Linked DNA regions of Saccharomyces cerevisiae S288C. The gene in region 2 interacts genetically with the main gene of each other region. Each region holds a gene or a part of one and is shown on either strand. Other genes may lie near its edges.

Region 1 (4,323 bases), on a different chromosome or scaffold from region 2:
TAGTAAACTTTGACGATGATGATAATAAATCCCAGGGGCAAATCGCCAACGATATTAGAGCACAAATATAAGAACCGCGTCTGATATTGATGAATTTAGGCAATAATGCAGTCAGATCGGTACCTGCAGGGATCGAGTTACCAGACAAGTTGGCACCCAGCTGGTCAAACGCAAAAATGAAAGATATTAAGAATACACCGGCTCTGTTCCCCGAAGTATAGTTATCCAAGTACCTGTTCAGAATGTCTAGGGGACTCCAATAATTTACTCCGTACAATGTATAAGCTGCGGAGACAGACAATATTCCGATTAAGGAAATAATGGCATAGCAGACGGGTAGCGCAATCAATTGCGAGTAAACAGATGACTTGTAGGTCTTACCGAATCTAGTGAAGTCAGGAGCGTTTAGGATTAAAGTAGAGAAGTTATCCAGAGCACTCATAATAGCTCTAATGACAGACCATGCTAAAACCGTCTTGCTGATTGCGCCACCATTGTCATTTAGGGAACCCAATGCCAAATGACCTTTGGCCTTACAAAGAGTCCAAATCAAAAAACCGAAGGCCGCAAATGGAGTGATGGCGGATTTGAGTGCAAATATATGACGCAATTTGTCAGGTGGAAACCATAGGAACGGTAAACATGCGACCCAGAAGACCATGAAGCACATGAACTCGAAGTTCGTCAAATTGGGGTTCTTTATGGTGTCTTTGATTCTAGTATTCAAATTAGTACCGAAGATAGCCTTTAGCATCAACTGAACACATTGACTACCGATATAAGCCAAAGTAGAATTCCAGACACATGCCATGACGACACGGTTGATGACAATCCAGATGGAGAAGTAGATACCAAATGATACTCTTGAGGAAATGGGGAAAGAGATATGGTAATTGTTCCCCACTTTGGAACCCAGTATCAAGAAAAATGCGACAAACGTGTATCCAACCCAAATACAGATCCAAGTCTGCCACCAGTTAAGCCCTAACTGTAGCCCAGTGGCTGAGATTTGCCATGTATTGACGTTAAAGGACCCAGAAATCCAAAAGAAAATGTACTGCTTCCATGTCCACGTTCTTCTTTTTGCCTCCACGGGCCGCAGATCTGTGTTGTACAAGTACGTCGAACGGAGGGACTCCTGTAAATCTTTAAATGTCCTAATTGGATTTTCGGGCTTATGATCGGCCAAATCGGTAGAGTCATTCTTAACCTCAAAAAACTCGACAACTCTTTGCAGCCAAGACACCTTTTCGTCATCCTGAGCAATGGTTATATTGTTTTCTGAATCGGTATCTTTTTTTTCAATGACATTAGCATCAATCTTAGAAGTAATTTTAGTCGCATCACCCATCTCGGACTCTTTCGTGATTTCTTCGTAATCCTCCGTCGGTATAGTGTCGTCCTTCATTGTTTTTGAAGAATTATCGAATCCAGAATCAGATACCGGCATTTTCTCTTATATAGAATTAATGAATGAGAGGACTAGTTACCGCCTTTTATTTCCGCAATGTGCTGCAAAGTAAAGCAAAGCTGTCCAATACTATGTTTTAAATTTTACAAGAAGGTCGAAGCAATACTACTGTTATATAAAAGATAGGATAGCATGTCATCGAGTAATTGAGCAAGAGAGGAAATGAAAAACTTTTCCGTTGGAGAATTGATCAAAAATTTTCAAAAATACGACATGTCCCTGTGTTGTCCAGGCTGACACAATAGTTTCAGTAGCGAGAACCGCCAAGTTTTATTGCAGCATCCTTTAATGGCAAAGATGGCGCGATAAGGACGAAACCGGCAAATCCCGAGCATCAACCACAGTGAACGCCGCGGAGAAACTCAAAGGCGAAAGGGGAGAAAAAAAGAAATTAATGGCACATACCGCTTTGTGGCATGGCTCAATCACATTTCTTTTTCTTCTTTCTGATCGCCCGCAGGAGAGGCAGCGCCGTTTGTGTCCCATCGCAAGGACAAACTAGCTAGGACATGAGACTTCTAAGCCGTTCAGTCGAAAGAGTTAGGGCATTAGTCTCTAAAGATAAGTGTGGGGGCTTGGTTGAGTCTTGATTTAAAAGCTTGGAGTAGGCATTTTACGATCTATTTTCTCTCGAAATAAAGTAAAGGTATTGCTGCAAAGGAATTGCCGTAATATTTAAAACTTCTTGCTTAAGTGATGTAAAGGCAGTGAGGCGATAGCAATGTTTCGTAGAGCCTGTGACTAGTGAAGCATAGGCAATAAATTGTTTTTTTTTTCTGATTTTGTATTGCCGTCTCTGCGTCGCAGAGATTTGGTGTTCGTACGGAGCGATAATTGTTTTTATCTTTTCCAACTTAAAGGATCGAGGAAACTCAAAGGGTGGCAAAAACAAGCGGTATAATACAAGGTGAACTGAGTTGGAAAGAGAGTAGCCAAGACTATTGAACTATAAAGTTAAACAAAATATGGCCACTATTGCATCAGAATACTCTTCGGAGGCGTCAAATACACCCATTGAACATCAATTCAATCCTTACGGTGATAATGGTGGTACAATCCTGGGCATTGCAGGTGAAGATTTCGCAGTGTTAGCAGGCGATACAAGAAATATCACCGATTACTCAATTAATTCTCGTTATGAACCCAAGGTTTTTGATTGTGGTGATAACATAGTCATGTCGGCGAATGGATTTGCAGCAGACGGCGACGCTTTAGTAAAAAGATTCAAAAATAGTGTAAAATGGTACCATTTCGACCACAACGACAAAAAACTATCTATAAACTCTGCAGCAAGGAACATTCAACATCTTCTGTACGGGAAGAGGTTTTTCCCTTACTACGTTCATACGATCATTGCGGGTCTTGACGAAGATGGTAAGGGCGCTGTCTATTCGTTCGACCCAGTTGGCTCCTACGAAAGAGAACAGTGTAGAGCAGGTGGTGCTGCGGCATCATTGATCATGCCATTTTTGGACAATCAGGTTAATTTCAAAAATCAATATGAGCCAGGTACAAACGGTAAAGTCAAAAAGCCTTTGAAATACTTGTCCGTGGAAGAAGTCATCAAACTGGTGAGAGACTCGTTCACTTCTGCTACAGAAAGACATATACAAGTGGGTGATGGGCTGGAAATCCTTATTGTCACCAAGGATGGTGTAAGGAAAGAATTTTATGAGCTAAAAAGAGATTAATGCATACATATCATAGTATAAAAAGAAATAGACCAATATCAACATCAATTTTATGTATTTTTTTTTTCTTTTGGTATAGCATTGATATATTGAAATTTGTATATATTGCTGCGAACACTATTTAAAACAGGTTTTTTTTTTATTTTGGCAGTTTGAAACCCTTTCCTCTGATGACTTTAGTGTAGTAAATGTAAAAGAAATCAGAGTACAACAGAGTTTGCAAAAGTCCCGCGAAGAAGGCAATCTTGTCCAATTTTTTATCTTCCGTGCTGTACCTCCAAATCCAGTTAGGAATATACAATGCTCTGTATAATCCCATGGCAAAAATATAATGAACAGTTAGACTTCTAGTCTTCCCACCCTTAGATAGCATGTACAATTGAGGTAGAATAGCCACACTCTCCAACCATACAGAAAAACTCCATGCTAATTCAAGAAAAGTGAACTTGTGATGGAAAAAAACACTCATTAGAGCACTCCCAATTAGTAAATGCTGGATCTTAAAGGTATCATGCATAAGCATTTCATTATACGCAATGGTGTTGGTTCTTTTAGACCCTTGTAATAGCACTACAATGTAAGCGGTAGATACAATGAAAAATATTTTCATTAGAGCATTGTATAGGGATACCCAGTGAAAAGTCAAGAGATCCAAGTATCGTGTTATGAAAACCAAAGCGTACAACGTTTGGGTCTTGAAAGAAATACCTTCAATGTACCTTGTGGTCTTGATATTATGAATCAGGATCAGTATACTGGTTAGATGTGATAAATCACCTGTCTTGATGGTCGGGAAAAAGCCCTTTCTCTGTTAGTAAGATTGGGTTCGATCTACGGCGGGAAAAGCCTCATGAAACTCCAAATAGTAACATACCTAAGATTCTAAACGGATTCATTGCTTACTGATTATGCCTCAACTTGCGCGTATATCTCACTCTTGAACAAGTGCCCTCAGCAAATTCATCTGCCTCGAAATTTGAACTTATTTTTAACGTGTTCAATATTTAGCTAAAACGTCGTTTTCAGTCCGGGTACCGCAGATAAGCCATCCCGGATCTTTAAAGGAAAACGAGGAATTCAGTGGTGCAGACTACACTTTAATCTCAATTGACCAAAGTGAGTCCTCAAGTAAGACGAATATTATTTTTCTTTCACGACTCA
Region 2 (4,461 bases):
GGGTCTGATGGGCGCTGCGCTCGCTGCCGTTATCTTTTTGTAATTTCTGCTAACGACAGATGCGCAGAATCAACCTTTCTGATCTCTCCGTGGTCTTACTTTTCAAAATGGCATTGTGAATTAAGTATTTCATCATAGTTGATAAAGCTTATGTCCGCAATGTTATTTGTCTGCGTGACACTGGCTGTCTATAAGAATGTACCAGTATGTAATATTATATCAAGAAAATATCAGGTGTTGATTAAAATAATCTAAAAACAATGTCTATTTCACTTGTTAAATATGACTTTTCAAAAATAACCATTTTATTTATTTCTTGCTTTTTAAAAGGTGAGAGTGGGTATTTGTTTTATCTGACGCCAAGGAAAATAAAAGTTAAAAAATGACATGATGATTTTATAGTTCAAAACAAGAAATGAACTTTCGTGTTTGTGATCAGATTCAAATGGAGTATAATACTGAAAGAAGGTCGAGAAAGACAAGCAAGCAAATTCACAACTTCATTGAGCGCATTTTATTGAAATTACCTGTAGCAATGAGTAGTTCAGTTTGTCATATAATTATGTTTTTGTGAGAAATTTTAGCTTTTGGTACTGTGCCAGTTATCCGAATTTAAAAAAAAAAGTTATATATGGCTGTAATAATTTAGGTCAGAGAGAAGAAAACACGAAGTTTACTACGTGTATTAAAAATAGAACATTAAACATGCACCAAATGCTTTAATGAACACTTTCGGAAGAATAAGCCCATAAAAAAATCACGACGTACCGTTGCGACAGATAGGATCGTTCTTTCTAGGAGATTTTTTAGCTGCTACGGAATAAAAGAAATAATGCTGACTAATACGCAGGATATCCATGGGAGGCGGCTTTTTGTTCTGACGGATCCATAAATCCCGTAAAGAAATCTGGGCGAATGTATACAGAGAATTAACGTTACTCATTCCTAGCCTGAAAATCAAAAAGCTTGGCATAAGGGGCATGTACATAGTCTTCATGAAAGAAATGGAAAATTTTTTCAAGGGATGGCTTCACGGTTCCATTATTGCTTCCGGTTTCCGTTACCCTTTAAATCAGATATATAAACAGCCATAAGGAGAACCATTCATTTCTTTATCATCCGCTAAATTTTATTAACGGCATTTTTAAGTACTTCCCACTGGCTAATTACACAGATAAAACTCAAACAAATTTATAATGGCCCCAAAAAAAGTTTTACTCGCTCTTACCTCATATAACGATGTATTCTACAGTGACGGCGCCAAGACCGGTGTTTTTGTTGTAGAAGCCTTACATCCCTTCAACACATTCCGAAAAGAAGGTTTTGAAGTCGATTTTGTATCTGAAACCGGAAAATTTGGTTGGGATGAGCATTCCTTAGCCAAAGATTTTCTAAATGGTCAAGACGAAACGGATTTTAAAAATAAAGACTCAGATTTCAACAAGACATTGGCTAAAATTAAGACACCAAAAGAGGTGAATGCCGATGATTACCAAATTTTTTTTGCATCTGCAGGCCACGGTACCTTATTTGACTATCCTAAGGCTAAAGACTTGCAGGACATTGCTTCCGAAATTTATGCTAACGGTGGTGTTGTCGCAGCTGTTTGTCACGGTCCTGCTATTTTTGATGGGTTAACAGACAAAAAAACAGGAAGACCATTGATCGAAGGTAAATCTATCACCGGTTTTACTGATGTTGGTGAAACCATTTTGGGTGTTGATAGTATTTTGAAAGCCAAGAATTTGGCAACCGTTGAAGATGTTGCTAAAAAATATGGCGCTAAGTATTTAGCTCCGGTTGGGCCCTGGGATGATTACTCTATTACTGACGGAAGACTGGTAACAGGTGTGAATCCTGCTTCTGCGCACTCCACTGCCGTAAGATCCATCGACGCTTTAAAAAACTGAGCCAAAGGTTGATAATTAGAATTTCCTTTGTACTACTATATAGATGTAAGGAACTTTAGGAGGCGTTATTGAGTACGAGGGATGTACCTCATTGTTAATACGTTGAAATATTTGGATATTGGGGAAACACATGTCTGAGATGGGTCTTCCAATAACCAAAGTTTATAATCTTTATCTTTTATCTGCTTTAGCTAGAGGTTAATAGTGAAGACTACATTTGGTCTCCAACAAGGTGCTACAATTTATTTTTCAGCCACTCCGTTGCACAGCATTTATCTAGCCAACGTTAATATCAATGAGAATGGAGAAGAAAGCATTAGCGTCGTTACGCTGCAAATCATCTATGCAATATGTAAAACTATACATAAAACTTTCTAAATTTTTTTTTTTTCATTTTGGTATTTCTGTCAGCTGCCGATGCTTCCTAAAGGGTTTATTCATGTGGGACATTGTAGGTGTGTTTCAGTTATCTAATGGTTATTTGCATCTTAGTGAGCTGTTCCTTGCGGTTTCTTGCTAAATGATCACGAAAAATGTTTTTTTCTCAGGTTAATTATGGCAGAATGTCGACACGAATTGGTCATATTGAAAATATTTAGTAATGCCCATCAATTAAATTGAACGTTATATCATCCGGATAAACAATATCTTCCAGATTAAAAAGGAAAAATAATTTAGGGCATACGTATTAGGTTATTCAACCAGAAATTAGCATTTGGCTGTCTTTAATGCCATCGCTTGGGAACTAGGCAGTTAAATATAAGCACATGTAAAAAAAGTGAAGATCGCGTAACTCATTATTTATAAACACAAGGAGAATGAGCAGCATCAAAAAAACTTCAACCAATAGAAAAAAACATATAGACTAGCTTTAAAACAAAATTAGTGAAGAAATGGATACAGGGAGTGCGAGCATAAAGGACTATGAGACCGTGTTAACGGATATTGAGGATTCTATTGCTGTGAGCAGCGAAGAAGTGCTAAATAACCAAGAACTAAGGCTCAAAAATACATTGCACGAAATTACTTCCAGCATTCTGGCAATAAATGAAGAGAACAAGTTTGTGAATCCTCTTAGGAACGATGAGAGCTTAGACGTAGAGGGAAAGGAGGTCTTTGTAAATCCAAAAATTCTGAGTGCAAAAATCAAGGAGTTCAATAAACTAATGGAGTTACTTAAGTTGACTTACTTGGAACAGGAGACATTGGACTATTTCTTCAGGTTTACTTTGTCCTCGACGAAACCTTTGCAGTTAGATTCCGAAAAAGACCCCCAATTTGTAAAACTTAATGAAAGAGTTAATGATTTAAAGGAAGAAATTTCGAATGTTCAAGAAAGCAAAATAGAACAAATCAAAGCTGAAATCCAAGAGACCGGTCACAACTTTGCAGAAAGGCAAGATTTAATAAATGAGTTGTATCTGGAAGCCACTGGTGATATTGAAAATTGTTGGGATTCGCTCAATGAACTAAAAAATTTAACAAACAAAGAAGATAAGAATATGATGGGAGAAAAAGATACGATATTAAATTCAAGTGATTCAGATGATTTTGTGGAAGAGACATACACGAATTGGCAAAAACTACTATTTTTGCAGAAGCAAAATCAAAGGTTAACGAAAGAGCTCAAGGAAATGCATGAAGTTAAAAATCAAATAATACGAAAAGGAGAGCAATCAAAAAAAGAGGATTCTGGACATTTAATGGCCAATGAATCAGAATTATGTCAGTCAATTAATTTGCTAACAAAATTTTGGGAAAAGCACTTTTTACTCAAAGGGTCAAAGACGACTATATTAAATTTTGAAATCTTTACCCAGCTTGGAAAAGTACAATTTGAAATAAAGGATATGCAATATATAATTGCCATATCTTTAAGCGATTTAAAAAGGCCAATGATAAAAGACATTACTATTTTACAAAAAGCGGGTGGCAATATAGTCACAGACATTGAAGCGAGCAGTAAATTTAACAATAAGTACAGAAATAATACTAAGGTGCAAATCTTTGAGGTAATGGATGACATTATAAGCGAGCTAACAAACGAATAAATTAATTATCTAGATAAAGATGTATGTAATATTACTAGCCAAAAAAAAAGTGAAATCTATCTACGTACTTGTTTTCTTAGTAGATGAATGACGAGACGCGCTTAGGAAAGCACCCATTGCACCCAAATAGCCTTCATGTTTGAGAAAAAACGCTTGCTTTGATCCTTGTGACCAAAAATTAATAGCGTAGCTCAAAGTGTTCATGGTAGTCAAATGTCCTCTGGTATAAGATCCGCCAAAGTATATATTCTGTATATTATTGATTTTAGCTTGCAAATAAGCTATTTGCCCAATATTGTTGGAGATGGCGAATAGAAGACTTTTACAAATATCAGGATTCTTAAACATTTGTCCATTGTTTTTCTCAATAGACTCATGTGAGGAATATAATTTATTTTCGTTGTTTTCCAAAGATTTGTTAGATGTCATTCTATTTTGGAAAACTTTACCAAATGAACTTGCAATAGCTGACGACTTTAGACCAATTTTATTATAGTCTG

The links. A genetic interaction does not mean that the proteins touch.
Region 1: mutations in KRE28 (region 2) and PRE7 together harm fitness less than expected from each alone (positive genetic interaction), as found in Saccharomyces cerevisiae (one large-scale study listed by BioGRID).

Annotation. Positions count from the first base shown.
Region 1 is NC_001134.8:138,811-143,133, forward strand, and holds PRE7 (proteasome core particle subunit beta 6), read left to right. Parts: upstream 1-2,436; coding exon 2,437-3,162; downstream 3,163-4,323. Other genes in the region: FUI1 (uridine permease), read right to left, coding at 1-1,450; ERD2 (Erd2p), read right to left, coding at 3,302-3,939, 4,037-4,058. UniProt on the Saccharomyces cerevisiae protein: Non-catalytic component of the proteasome which degrades poly-ubiquitinated proteins in the cytoplasm and in the nucleus. It is essential for the regulated turnover of proteins and for the removal of misfolded proteins.
Region 2 is NC_001136.10:1,498,896-1,503,356, reverse strand, and holds KRE28 (Kre28p), read left to right. Parts: upstream 1-2,803; coding exon 2,804-3,961; downstream 3,962-4,461. Other genes in the region: FIT1 (Fit1p), read left to right, coding at 1-43; HSP31 (glutathione-independent methylglyoxalase), read left to right, coding at 1,197-1,910; CAB1 (pantothenate kinase), read right to left, coding at 4,022-4,461.